Linked DNA regions of Mus musculus. The protein of the gene in region 2 purifies or fractionates together with the protein of the main gene of each other region. This does not show direct contact. Links are inferred from orthologs where the notes say so. Each region holds a gene or a part of one and is shown on either strand. Other genes may lie near its edges.

Region 1 (5,144 bases), on a different chromosome or scaffold from region 2:
TCCAGATGTCCTGAGTTCAATTCTCAGCAACCACATGGTGGCTCACAACCATCTGTAATGGGATCTGATGCCCTCATCTGGTGTGTCTGAAGATAGCTACAGTGTACTCATATACATAAAATACACAAATAATTTAAAAATGCATTAAGATATTTGTCACAGACTTCCTCATGACTGTGGTGGCACATGCCCATAGTTCCAGCAACTTTGGAGACTGAGGCAGGAGAGTGGCTAATTCAAGATCTGTCTGGGCTACAGAGTGAGTTCAAGGCTGTCATGGGTAACTTAGTAAGGTCCTGTCTTAAATATAAGCAAGCAAGCAAGCAACAAAAACTTTCCACAAACAACACTGGGACAGGGGACCTGGATTAAATGTCCAGTTGAAGAGAGGAGAAGAGAGGAGAGGAGAGGAGAGGAGAGGAGAGGAGAGGAGAGGAGAGGAGAGGGGAGGGGAGGGGAGGGGAGGGGAGGGGAGATGAGGGAATGGGAAGGGAGAGAGAGAAAATGAAAAGACTGTGTCTTCAGGGCTCTGGCTTCCTGTAGCCCTCAGTGTCACTCGTACTCGTAGTCCACCCACATCTGCAGATGTAGCCAGGCTTCTCTGCCTTGAGTCTAACCTCACTGGTTTTTTTTTTTTTTTTTTTTAATTATATATATTTTACGTGTATGGGTGCTTTGCAGGCTTGTATGTCTGTGCACCACCTGCATGGCCTTGTTAGGAAAAACATACTAAGTGGGTGTCAGATTCCTTGGCTCTGGAGTTAGGGATTGCTGTTAGCTGCCATGCTGGGAATTGAACCCAAGTCCTCTGGAAAATCAGCCAGTGGCCCTAACCTCAGTGAAGAACCGGGTTGGTGAATGCATGTCCTTGGAGAGTAACAGGGCTGGGTGCTCTCGCGAATCCCTGTCGTTACAGATGATATAGGGCTCGGGAGTAGAGTTACTGAGCAGAAATCTTGTGAGCTCTTCTACTCATTCCACGATTGTCACGTGCTGTGCCGGGATCTAACTAGAATCTGCTGCACAGGTGAATGCTTGCTTTGGCATAACGGAGAACTAGCTCGATGCCAGTCTTGGCAACTTAACTTTCATTTTCTTCCCTATGAACACTTCTTACCCAGAAAGACACTGGCCCTGTTAGGAAGGACAGACTTCTAGCTTTGGTCTCTCCATCCCCTACATAACTGTGAATCTGAGCAATCTTTCAGCTATCTTGAGTTTCCGGCTGGACACTGGGCACATAGAACAAGTACTTTGTCTATTTCCAAACAAGAAGGAGTTTGATGCGCCCTGGAGTCCTATTTGGTTTGTCTGCTTATTAGGAAAGACCTCACACTGTAGCCCAGGCTGGGCTTAAACTCAGTCTTCTGTCTCAGCTTCCTCAGTACTGGGATTACAGGTGTGAGTCTCCGGTTTTCTCTCTGAAAAGAGTTGAAGCTCACAAGAGAGGGAGCAGAAAGCAGCCTGGCTTCTACTGCTAGGTGAGACAGGTGGTGAAGAAACCTTAACTGAGTTCAGATTAAGATATGCAAAGTTAAAAGGAAACATGGATAACGCATTTGAATTGGCATTTTAGACTAAAGCCTGCAATCCCCTCCGGGGCGGTGTGTGCACTCCATTCCTTGTAGCGATAGCAGCATAGGCGAAGGCATCTCCTAGGGTTTCTACTGATTCACAGTCTGAATTTCTAGGTCGGGAGGGCTTGATGGGAAGAGTCCAGTGGGCAGCCGAAGGGAGAAGGACCGGTTCTCTCAGTCGTTCAGACGTCCGGCAGGCTGTGGTTTGGACTGGCCACCGCCCTCCGCAGAGCTGCTGGACCGGCCGCGCCCTAGGGTCAGGGCGGGTGGCCCTCTGCAGGTGCGCGAAGCGGGCAAGCGGGCGGGCAGGCAGGCGGGGCGCGGGGCGGCGCAATCGGGCGTGGTTTAGGACCCGGGGCGGCTTCCCGGGGTGACAGTGGAACTCCAAAGTTGCGCTGGACCTTGGCCCTGACAGTCTGAGCTCTCGGCGCGATCCGGCCGTCCTCCCGCTGTCCTCCCGCTGTCCGCCGTCCTCAGCCGCCTTCCGTCCTCCGCTCCCAGCCCTGCGCTCACAACCCAGCGCCGGCATGACGGGCTCGCTGTTCAAGGGGAACTTCTGGGTAAGTCAGCGCGGCGCGGGGCGTCCCGGAGCGCACGCCGGAGCGAGCCCTGGGGCTGCCCCTCTCTGTCCCGAGAGTCCGCTCCCCGGAGCGCGCGCTCCCCGAAACACCTGGGCCCTGACGTCACCCGGCGTTCTCACGCTTGAAAACCGAAGCCCAAAAGGAGGCGCATTCCAGCCCGCGGGTGCCCCGAAGCCCTGGGAGAAACGGGATGGGGCGTGTGAGCAGTCGCTCTGGGGTTCTCGGCCCGAGCTTCACCCTGCCTGGCAGCCCCGCTTTCTGATTTCCCTCGCAGCCCACAGAGAACCCCAGGGAGGCCAGCGCGCGCGTGAGACCCGAGAACTGGTGCTGTCATAGCGGTGCGGGTCCTAGGTGGCAGGTCTTCTCTCACCTTTTACTTAGACATCCTTTTCGCACGCATTCCCATTACCCTACGACTACCCACCCTCCAAGGGACCATTTCCGCCTGAATTCGGAGGTAACACCTTCCTTTAAGACAGGGCAAGGAGCTGTCCACCTGAGAGTTGACCCACAGCGATAGAGGGGCTCAGCCTTTTTCTAGGACTCTGCTTGTTTCCCGGTTTAGCTTCAGAGCTGCCCACCACACCAATCTCCTGCCGTGAACCCAGTGGCAGTTAGAGCCTATCACCTCCCATTCGCTTGAGGTTTTGAGATCCTTCTGAGTCACTGACCATAAGGCGAAGGGCCGGGGTAGCATTACAGCAGGGTTAGTAACCTTACACTTGGTCCTCCTCGGAGACCTGGGAAATCTTGACACTTTTTACACTGTGGGGAAAAAAAAGGACAGACCTTTATGCAGTTCATAGTAGAGTGATTATTTTTTTGGGCTAACGATGGAGGTACAGAGACTTCAGATGATAGATAGTATGTGCGCACCATCCGGGGCGTGCCCGTTCTGGAACAGGCTCAATCAAAAGTGTCAAGGAAAAGACTGATGTGCCCTTCGGCTCTGGACATCTTAGCCTGAGTTTAGTTAAGAGCCCAGGACCCGTCTCCATCAGTCTCAGCACTCAGCAATAGGGGCTAGGCTTTCTTTCCTTCCCTCCAACTCTCCTTAAAAACCCCAGAGCCAGAAGTGTTGGTTACTCACACCTGAAATCCCAGCGTTGGCGAAGCTGAGCCATTGGCAGCCCCAGCTGTCCCACCTACTCTCTGGCAGGAGTGGTCAAGAGGAGGGGCAGAGTGGAGTTGAGTTGAGAGTCCTGTGGTAAAGGTCTTAGGAGCACCGGACCGCGGCCGCTGCTGCTGGTGTTGAGTTTTTGCTCTACTTTTCAAAAGTTACCTGAGATCCCGGAAACTGCAAGCGCCCTGTCCAGCTCCACAGTTCCAGCAGTTGTTCGATTCAAATAACGAGAAGGACCGCATTGTTTATTGTGCAGATTATTAGGTTCTTTAACTGCCTTCCCCACATTACTCCACCATGCCTCCCAGTCGCCCTCGGAGGGAACTGACTCACCATGATATTTTACCGATGGGGAAACTGGCAGGGAGTGAAGCAACATTCTCAAAGCCCTGGAGCTGACGAATCGTGGCCCAGAGCTCTGCATGAACTCAAGGCTCACCCAAGTGTCTCCAAGAGGGTGGCATGGAGCGAGCACACCCCAGTGAACGTCCCAATTGCTCTTTCCCAGTGCCTGCAGTGGGCGTGGGGCGTGTTGGGCCATCCTGTGGCTGTTTGCTGGAGTCTCCTTCCTGCTTCAGCTGGACCAGGAGGTCCTGAAGGGCAGACACGATTTTCCCACCAGCTGGGTCCTTAGCACCAGCTATGGCACGCGGATTGTGGATCCCTAGGTCCAGGTGGATAAGACAGGGGCAGGAGTGAAGATGCAGGACCTGGGAGAAAAGGGGCAGAGGGAGCTAGCTGTTGGAGAAGAACGGCTGCTCACCTTTAAGTAGCCATGCTCTCAGGGAGTAGGAGTCTTTTCACTGAGTTGATGCTGGTGACAGTGACAGGGAGGGATGAGAACATTGTGACTGGATGAAGAAAAAAAAATGTTGAAAGCATCAGCAGGCACTGGTTTCCCAGGTTTAATAAACTCGTAGGAAATACTTTCTGTATGGGAAGTGCTCTGGTAGGCCTGGCTTTTGCTGGGGTTAACCCTGTTGCAATCTTCCCTAGAATCCGAACATCTCCTGAGGAAGGGGAATCGAAAGGGGAGATTTTGACCTTAGGTGCTTGACCTTAAGAATACAGAAGAGGGCTGGCTGAGGCAGCAGAGTCTGAGGCAGGAGGATTAAGCGTTCAAGCCAGGTTGGGATATATAGCTGGACTCTGTCTCAAAACCTAAAACAAAGACTGTACTGGGTTTCGGGTGGGGTCTGGGGATGGGGAAGAGTTAGCAGGTGTTATGGAAACTGGACCAGGGAAGCCTATTCTGGGGTGGAGACCATGGAGTGGGAAAAGATGCAGATAGAGAAACTACAGAGATAAGAGCCAGTCCCAGGCCAGGGAAGTCAACGGAGGGTCACCAGCAGAAGGAAGGAGAGGGGCCTCAAGCTGGCTTCAGAAGGGGAACTGGAGATGAGTGGGCGTGTCCTGAAATAGGAAGTCAGCAGGAGGAAATGCCAAGTGGAGGCAGGAGGAGGGAGAAGTGACTGTCAACACTGTTTAGTCAGGTGCTGCACCTGCAGAGGCAGGTTAAGTACAAAGCTCCCCTCTGCCCCAGGCCTCACCCCAAGCTCCAGGCTAGGCTGATGGGTATGAGGACTTCCTGCCAGAGGAGGGTCCCCCCCCCCCCCCGCAACCCCCAGGGGAAAGCAAAGGGTGTCAGCTAGTAGAGTTTGGAAGCATTCTGATATCTTCACCATTGCAAACATATCGCCGAGTACTTTAATGTCAGCTGGGCAACAGCTTCCGGCTGGTGGGGATGGCTCTGTTCCATTGGAAAGGGTGTCCTGGGGAGACTGAATGGAACAGCATGAAGCACAAGAGTGTCTGTCCTCTGCCGTCAGTGGGGCCTCTGAGGCGAATGTGCCTTCACTGGTT
Region 2 (5,000 bases):
TTAGGAATAAACAATGCAGAGGCTTTATTCATGTCAATCAAAGTATATAAAAGTACAATAGAACAAATATTGAAATACAAGCCAATAGTTTAACTATAATAGTCACATTGTGACATGCTTAAGTTATTCCTAAAAAGTAGCTGTAATAAAAGACACCAAAATCTAAGCTTAAAAAAACCCAAAAGACAAGAACATAGCACAGGTATGGCAGCTCATACCTTTCATCCCAGCCAGTACTAGGGAGGCGGAGACAGGGCTGACACCAGTTCAAGGACAGCCTGGGTCCTGAGTGAGTTCAGCTCCCTGCCCCTCAGAAACAAAACAAACAGAAACTTCTAACTACTTACAAAGGCAAATATATGTACTTATTGTGACATAGACCTATTATAAACATAGATATAGGGAGAATGGGAGTAGCTCCATCCTTAAAATAGGGCCACAGTATGGATGCCCAATCCAATCACCCAAATATAAAGTATTACCATTATAATTATATCATTACTGTTAATAATTATATTCTATAATTTGCAATTTTGAAACTATTACTTTATAATGAAATAGTTATAATAGTGATATTACCTTTTAAGACTCAGTTCTACAATGTTAAGGTTTTAAAATGGATTTTTTTTTTTGACTTTTAATTTTATTTTGATGTTGACTGTGTTTCTTTTTGGAGATCCACTTAATCATCTTTATTGATTCTGAATTTTCATAAGATTTTAATTTCTTTCTTTTTTTTCATTTACAACATTTTATTTGGAAATATTTGTAACAGTTCAGTGAAACTAAAGGTCAGAGACAATGGCTGTCAGTTTAGGCATCATTCGTTTATTATAAAAGGGAGGCATGGAAATTATTTACATGATGAAATAGTTCAGGCATCAGTGGACTGGCAGCTTCATGTGACACCATTTCAACAGTGATTTCAGTCGACATACTTTCCAAAAATGTCACCATCTCTTTTTTAAAATGGATTTTAAAATCCACTTCAGAATTTAATAACAAAAGTTAGAATTTATGTGATCATCTTTGATTCTCTTTCCATGACAGAGGACAGTTCTTTCCAGCCTTCTAGTCAAGGGAAAAAAACAGAGGCAACTGCCAACAATCATAATTATAGCTACTGCTTATCAAGTTAGGAAATTAAAAAAGCAAGCCCTATAAAAGAATAATAGCCTTAGTCATCAAATCTCTCATGTAGAACTACCTAGCTATACTTTGGTATTATGGAAGAATGGGAACACATTTGGTCCTTGGACATGACATCTCCAATAGGAATCCCTGAGTCATCCCCAAAGCATGAACCCCAAGACTAGATCCCCTGTCCAAAAGTGCAGGGACTGGGCACCTGTCCGGATGGCCTGCACTAACAATGATCCTTGACAGAGTATGTCCAGGACAGCAAGATAGCAAGCATTCGACCAACAGCCAGGGCCACAAGGCCCCTTCTATGACAAGCCACTAGTTCTACACACCCTCAATGAACTGTTTTCTTCTACATTTACTATAGAGTAGTAAAAGGAGGGCTCTTTCCAATGTTTGCAAATGATATCATTCAACAGATACTAACCATCAAAATTCGATGGTAAGAAGAAAAGTACTTTTTCCAAAACATCATCTAAATATCAGAAAATGTTTAAAATAAGGAATAACTGGACTTTGATCTACATTTTCAGTCCTCACTGTATCTTGTTCCTACTTTCTATTTTTATAAAACTGCAAGGTGGAAGTCACAAAACCCCACAATACTACTAATACTGTGCAAGGCTAACAGTCTACTTTTCAAGCCATTAACAATTTTAACACTAAAGTTTTACTAGACAGAAATCTCTTTAAAATGTGAACACCCACTTCAGTACTAAAAATCACTTCATTTGCACTTTAAATAAAAACTAGCAAATGTTTCGTAGCCACTCATTTTTATAGACCTCAACTGCATATGGCTTTTCATAACCAAATTTCAGATGAACTGATTATTCTTAGAAGTGCACCTTGTCCAGAGCAAAATTTTCCCTAGTTCATTTGCTATTCCCAACCCCCGCTAAAGAGCGAAGGACTTCCCAAAGTCCCATTTCCTTTTCCATTCCCCAGACCTCCAGGGTTTACAACGCCCCAGTCTTGCGCAACATCCGTAGGAGCAGCAGCCGCAACCACCGCCTCCAAAGCCGGGAAACAACCCTAGAGGGAACATTGTCCAACAGAAAAATAAAAGGAGCGAGGAGGGGGTAATGTAGGAAGTCAGCTTCTGGTCCCACGCCTTCGGAATTGATACCCTCTCTCCAATTATGCACCTAGAGAAATTTCACATACTAGACTTTTAACCCCCACCTCCACTCACTCAAGCCTGCCTACACAAGCAGAGGGCGGAAAGGGGGGTGGCGGAAAAGGGGGGACGGGAAGGTTATCTCCCAGGGCTTCAGCCCATATAGTCGCCTCCACCCTACCATGACTATTGTTCCCAGCTTCCCCACCCCCACCCCGGATAGGAAGTGATAGTCACATCCCCTCCGGCTTCGGCAATATCCCCTCAAGTCCGGAGTGAGCTTCCTTCAGGATAACCCCCATCCACACTGATATCCCCCTCCCTTTTCGATCTAAAGTCACACTGGCCTCACAGCCACCTCAAACCTGGGTCTCAGGACGAAAAGAAACCTGACCAGATAAATGGAGATCAGGTAAACCATGAGATTCCTTATGGTCAAGCCTCTGGCAAGCGCTGAGCTAATAACTGTGAACCCAGACACGGAGTCGTCCTGCCGTCCACTCGGACCAAGGCCGGCATCCGTACAGGGACCCAGCGAGTTAATGCTCTACACCCTCGCTCTCCGGCAGCCTCGAGCCGCTCCGCTGGCCGCAGCCAGACAGCTCGCCTCGACCCTCCCCGGAGGGGCAGGCGGGGAAGGCAGGCGTGGGAAGGCGAGCCCGCACTCCAGCCGCCGCCGCCCGGCCGGGGAGACAATAGGTAGTCGCGGGCGGCGGGGCCGGAGCGGGCTGGGCCGGGGAGCGCAGGTAGCGGCCGCGGAAAAGAGAGGCTGAGGGGCGGGGGTGACCTCGCCTCCCGCAAGCTCGCCGACGGCGCTCGCGGCTGGGCGCGCGCCCCGCGCCTGTCCTCGCACCGCACACAAAGCGCTGGCAGCCCCGACCGACCGGGAGAGGCGAGGGGAGCTCGGCGGCTGGCGACACGAGGCGCCGGCGAGAACGGACACTCACCATGAAGTCCCGGGCGAAGTTGTCCTCCCCATTGTGATCCGGACTCTTCATGGCCTGGACCCTCTGGATGAACCTCCTCAGGATCTCCACTTGCTCCATCCTCCCGCGTCCCCCCCGCCGCCCGCCCGCGCGCCGCAGCGCCCGCTCCGTCTTCCCCAGCTCGCTCCGGCCCGCCCTCCCTCCCCGCCGCGCCAGGCGGCTGCGGCTGCGGCGGCACCGGCCGGGCTCCCCGCGCAACTTAAAGAGCAGCGTCGCTTTCCCCTACTACGAGGCGAGCCGCGGGCTAGCGCCGGCCCCAACCCCCAGCCTGCCCCATCCTCCTTCCCCGCCCTCCTCAGTCCGAGACGCCGCCGCCTCAGGAACACGGCTCTCAGTTCGCCCTGCCCCCTTCCCGGTTCTGCCTCCCCCCCCACCCCCCACCAGCAGCCGCAGCCGCCTCTCCCCACGGGCGCGCCCCCGCCGCCACCCAGACGCGCGGGCTCGTACGGCGGCCCCGCCCCAGAGCGAAGACCCAGCCGCCCCCGCACGCCCGCCCGGGCCCGCCCCCGCCCGCTCTGAGTGGCTGGAAGCCGCTTCCGGGGCGTGGCCCTCTCCTAGGGCGCTCGCCGCTCGCTGCGGTGAGGCTGGCTTCTGGTGGACGTCCTACGTCTGGAAGCCCGGCCAAGCCCAGTGGGTCAGACAGTAAACTTCAGATGGGGCTTGCGGCCTCCGGGTTTGGCGGGGAGGGAAAGCTGATTCCAAAAGTGCTTCAGCGCTACTGCCGGCCGCGGGCTGGGACTACAAGACCCGCCTGCAGGAGTGCCCGGAGCAGGGTGGGACAGAGGTATGCTGGGAACTGTAGTAGAGCCTTCACCTTCGCTTTACGAATGCCTTGGTGAGGGTCTCCCAAGGCTTTGGCACTTTGGCTAGGAGAAGCCAATAGTTTCCAGAGTGAAAGGGTTTACTCTTCGCAATCTTTCTAATCCCAGTGAGGGAAAGCTCTTAATTCGTAATGCATCTTTCTCATTGCACCTTTTTTTGCCAAGAGGAAGACAATATTGCTTCCTATCTTTAAATTCTCACGGTTTCAGAGTTGAATGGGTGACATTCTTTCGTAGAATAGAATTTGTGACTCTTAGCAGACAGAGAGCGTGCTGATGCAATCTGTCCTTTCATAAATAGAAATGATTTGTCCAAAGTTCACCCCCCCAACATGTTCATGTGGAGTCAGAACTAAAACGCAGGTTCTTTTACTTTGACTCTAACTTTTACTTTTTCTCGAAAGGACGAGAGTTTGTAGTAGTACACAGTTGCACAACTGAGGGATTTGATCCATGGACTGACTTTGGTCACCTACACCCACAAACAAAAAACATGTTTTCACAGAACAGGCTGCCAGGAAATATGCTTAAGATAGGAAATATCAATGCAGGAAACATTTCCTAAACCGATATTTGGCCGCACTGTGAAATTTAATTAAAAAGAAAATCGAAGACAACACATGTGAGTAGCAATATACAGTTACACTTTAAAATAAAATACAGGAAATAATGCATCTGATATGTACCAACTCACTTCTCTCAAAGCATTTCAAGAGATGCTTTCCATACTAAAATAAACTTTTGAAAGGAGTGTCTGTAGTAATTTAACCCACTACACAGGCTAAATTTCACTGAATGTAAGCAAAAGATTCAGGCTCGATGGGGACAAATAGGTAAATGGCAGAAATGCTTTAACTTTTATTTATGTCTCTATATTTTGGGTTCTCTCAGCCAGGGTCTCACTCAGTAACCCAGGCTGGCATGGCTGTC

Evidence for each region.
Region 1: the proteins of Ptpn12 (region 2) and Pstpip2 purify together in Homo sapiens (affinity purification with mass spectrometry; 4 studies listed by BioGRID and IntAct, counting the BioPlex papers as one, with this or other methods). This does not show direct contact. The link is inferred for Mus musculus from reciprocal best matches to the Homo sapiens genes PTPN12 and PSTPIP2.

The regions. Positions count from the first base shown.
Region 1 is NC_000084.6:77,792,614-77,797,757, forward strand, and holds the start of Pstpip2 (proline-serine-threonine phosphatase-interacting protein 2), read left to right. Parts: upstream 1-1,936; 5' UTR 1,937-2,104; coding exon 2,105-2,137; exon of another isoform or gene 2,138-2,334; intron 2,335-2,786; exon of another isoform or gene 2,787-2,923; intron 2,924-3,248; exon of another isoform or gene 3,249-3,777; intron 3,778-5,144. UniProt on the Homo sapiens protein: Binds to F-actin. May be involved in regulation of the actin cytoskeleton.
Region 2 is NC_000071.6:21,052,439-21,057,438, forward strand, and holds the start of Ptpn12 (tyrosine-protein phosphatase non-receptor type 12), read right to left. Parts: upstream 3,474-5,000; 5' UTR 3,310-3,473; coding exon 3,211-3,309; intron 1-3,210. UniProt on the Homo sapiens protein: Dephosphorylates a range of proteins, and thereby regulates cellular signaling cascades. Dephosphorylates cellular tyrosine kinases, such as ERBB2 and PTK2B/PYK2, and thereby regulates signaling via ERBB2 and PTK2B/PYK2.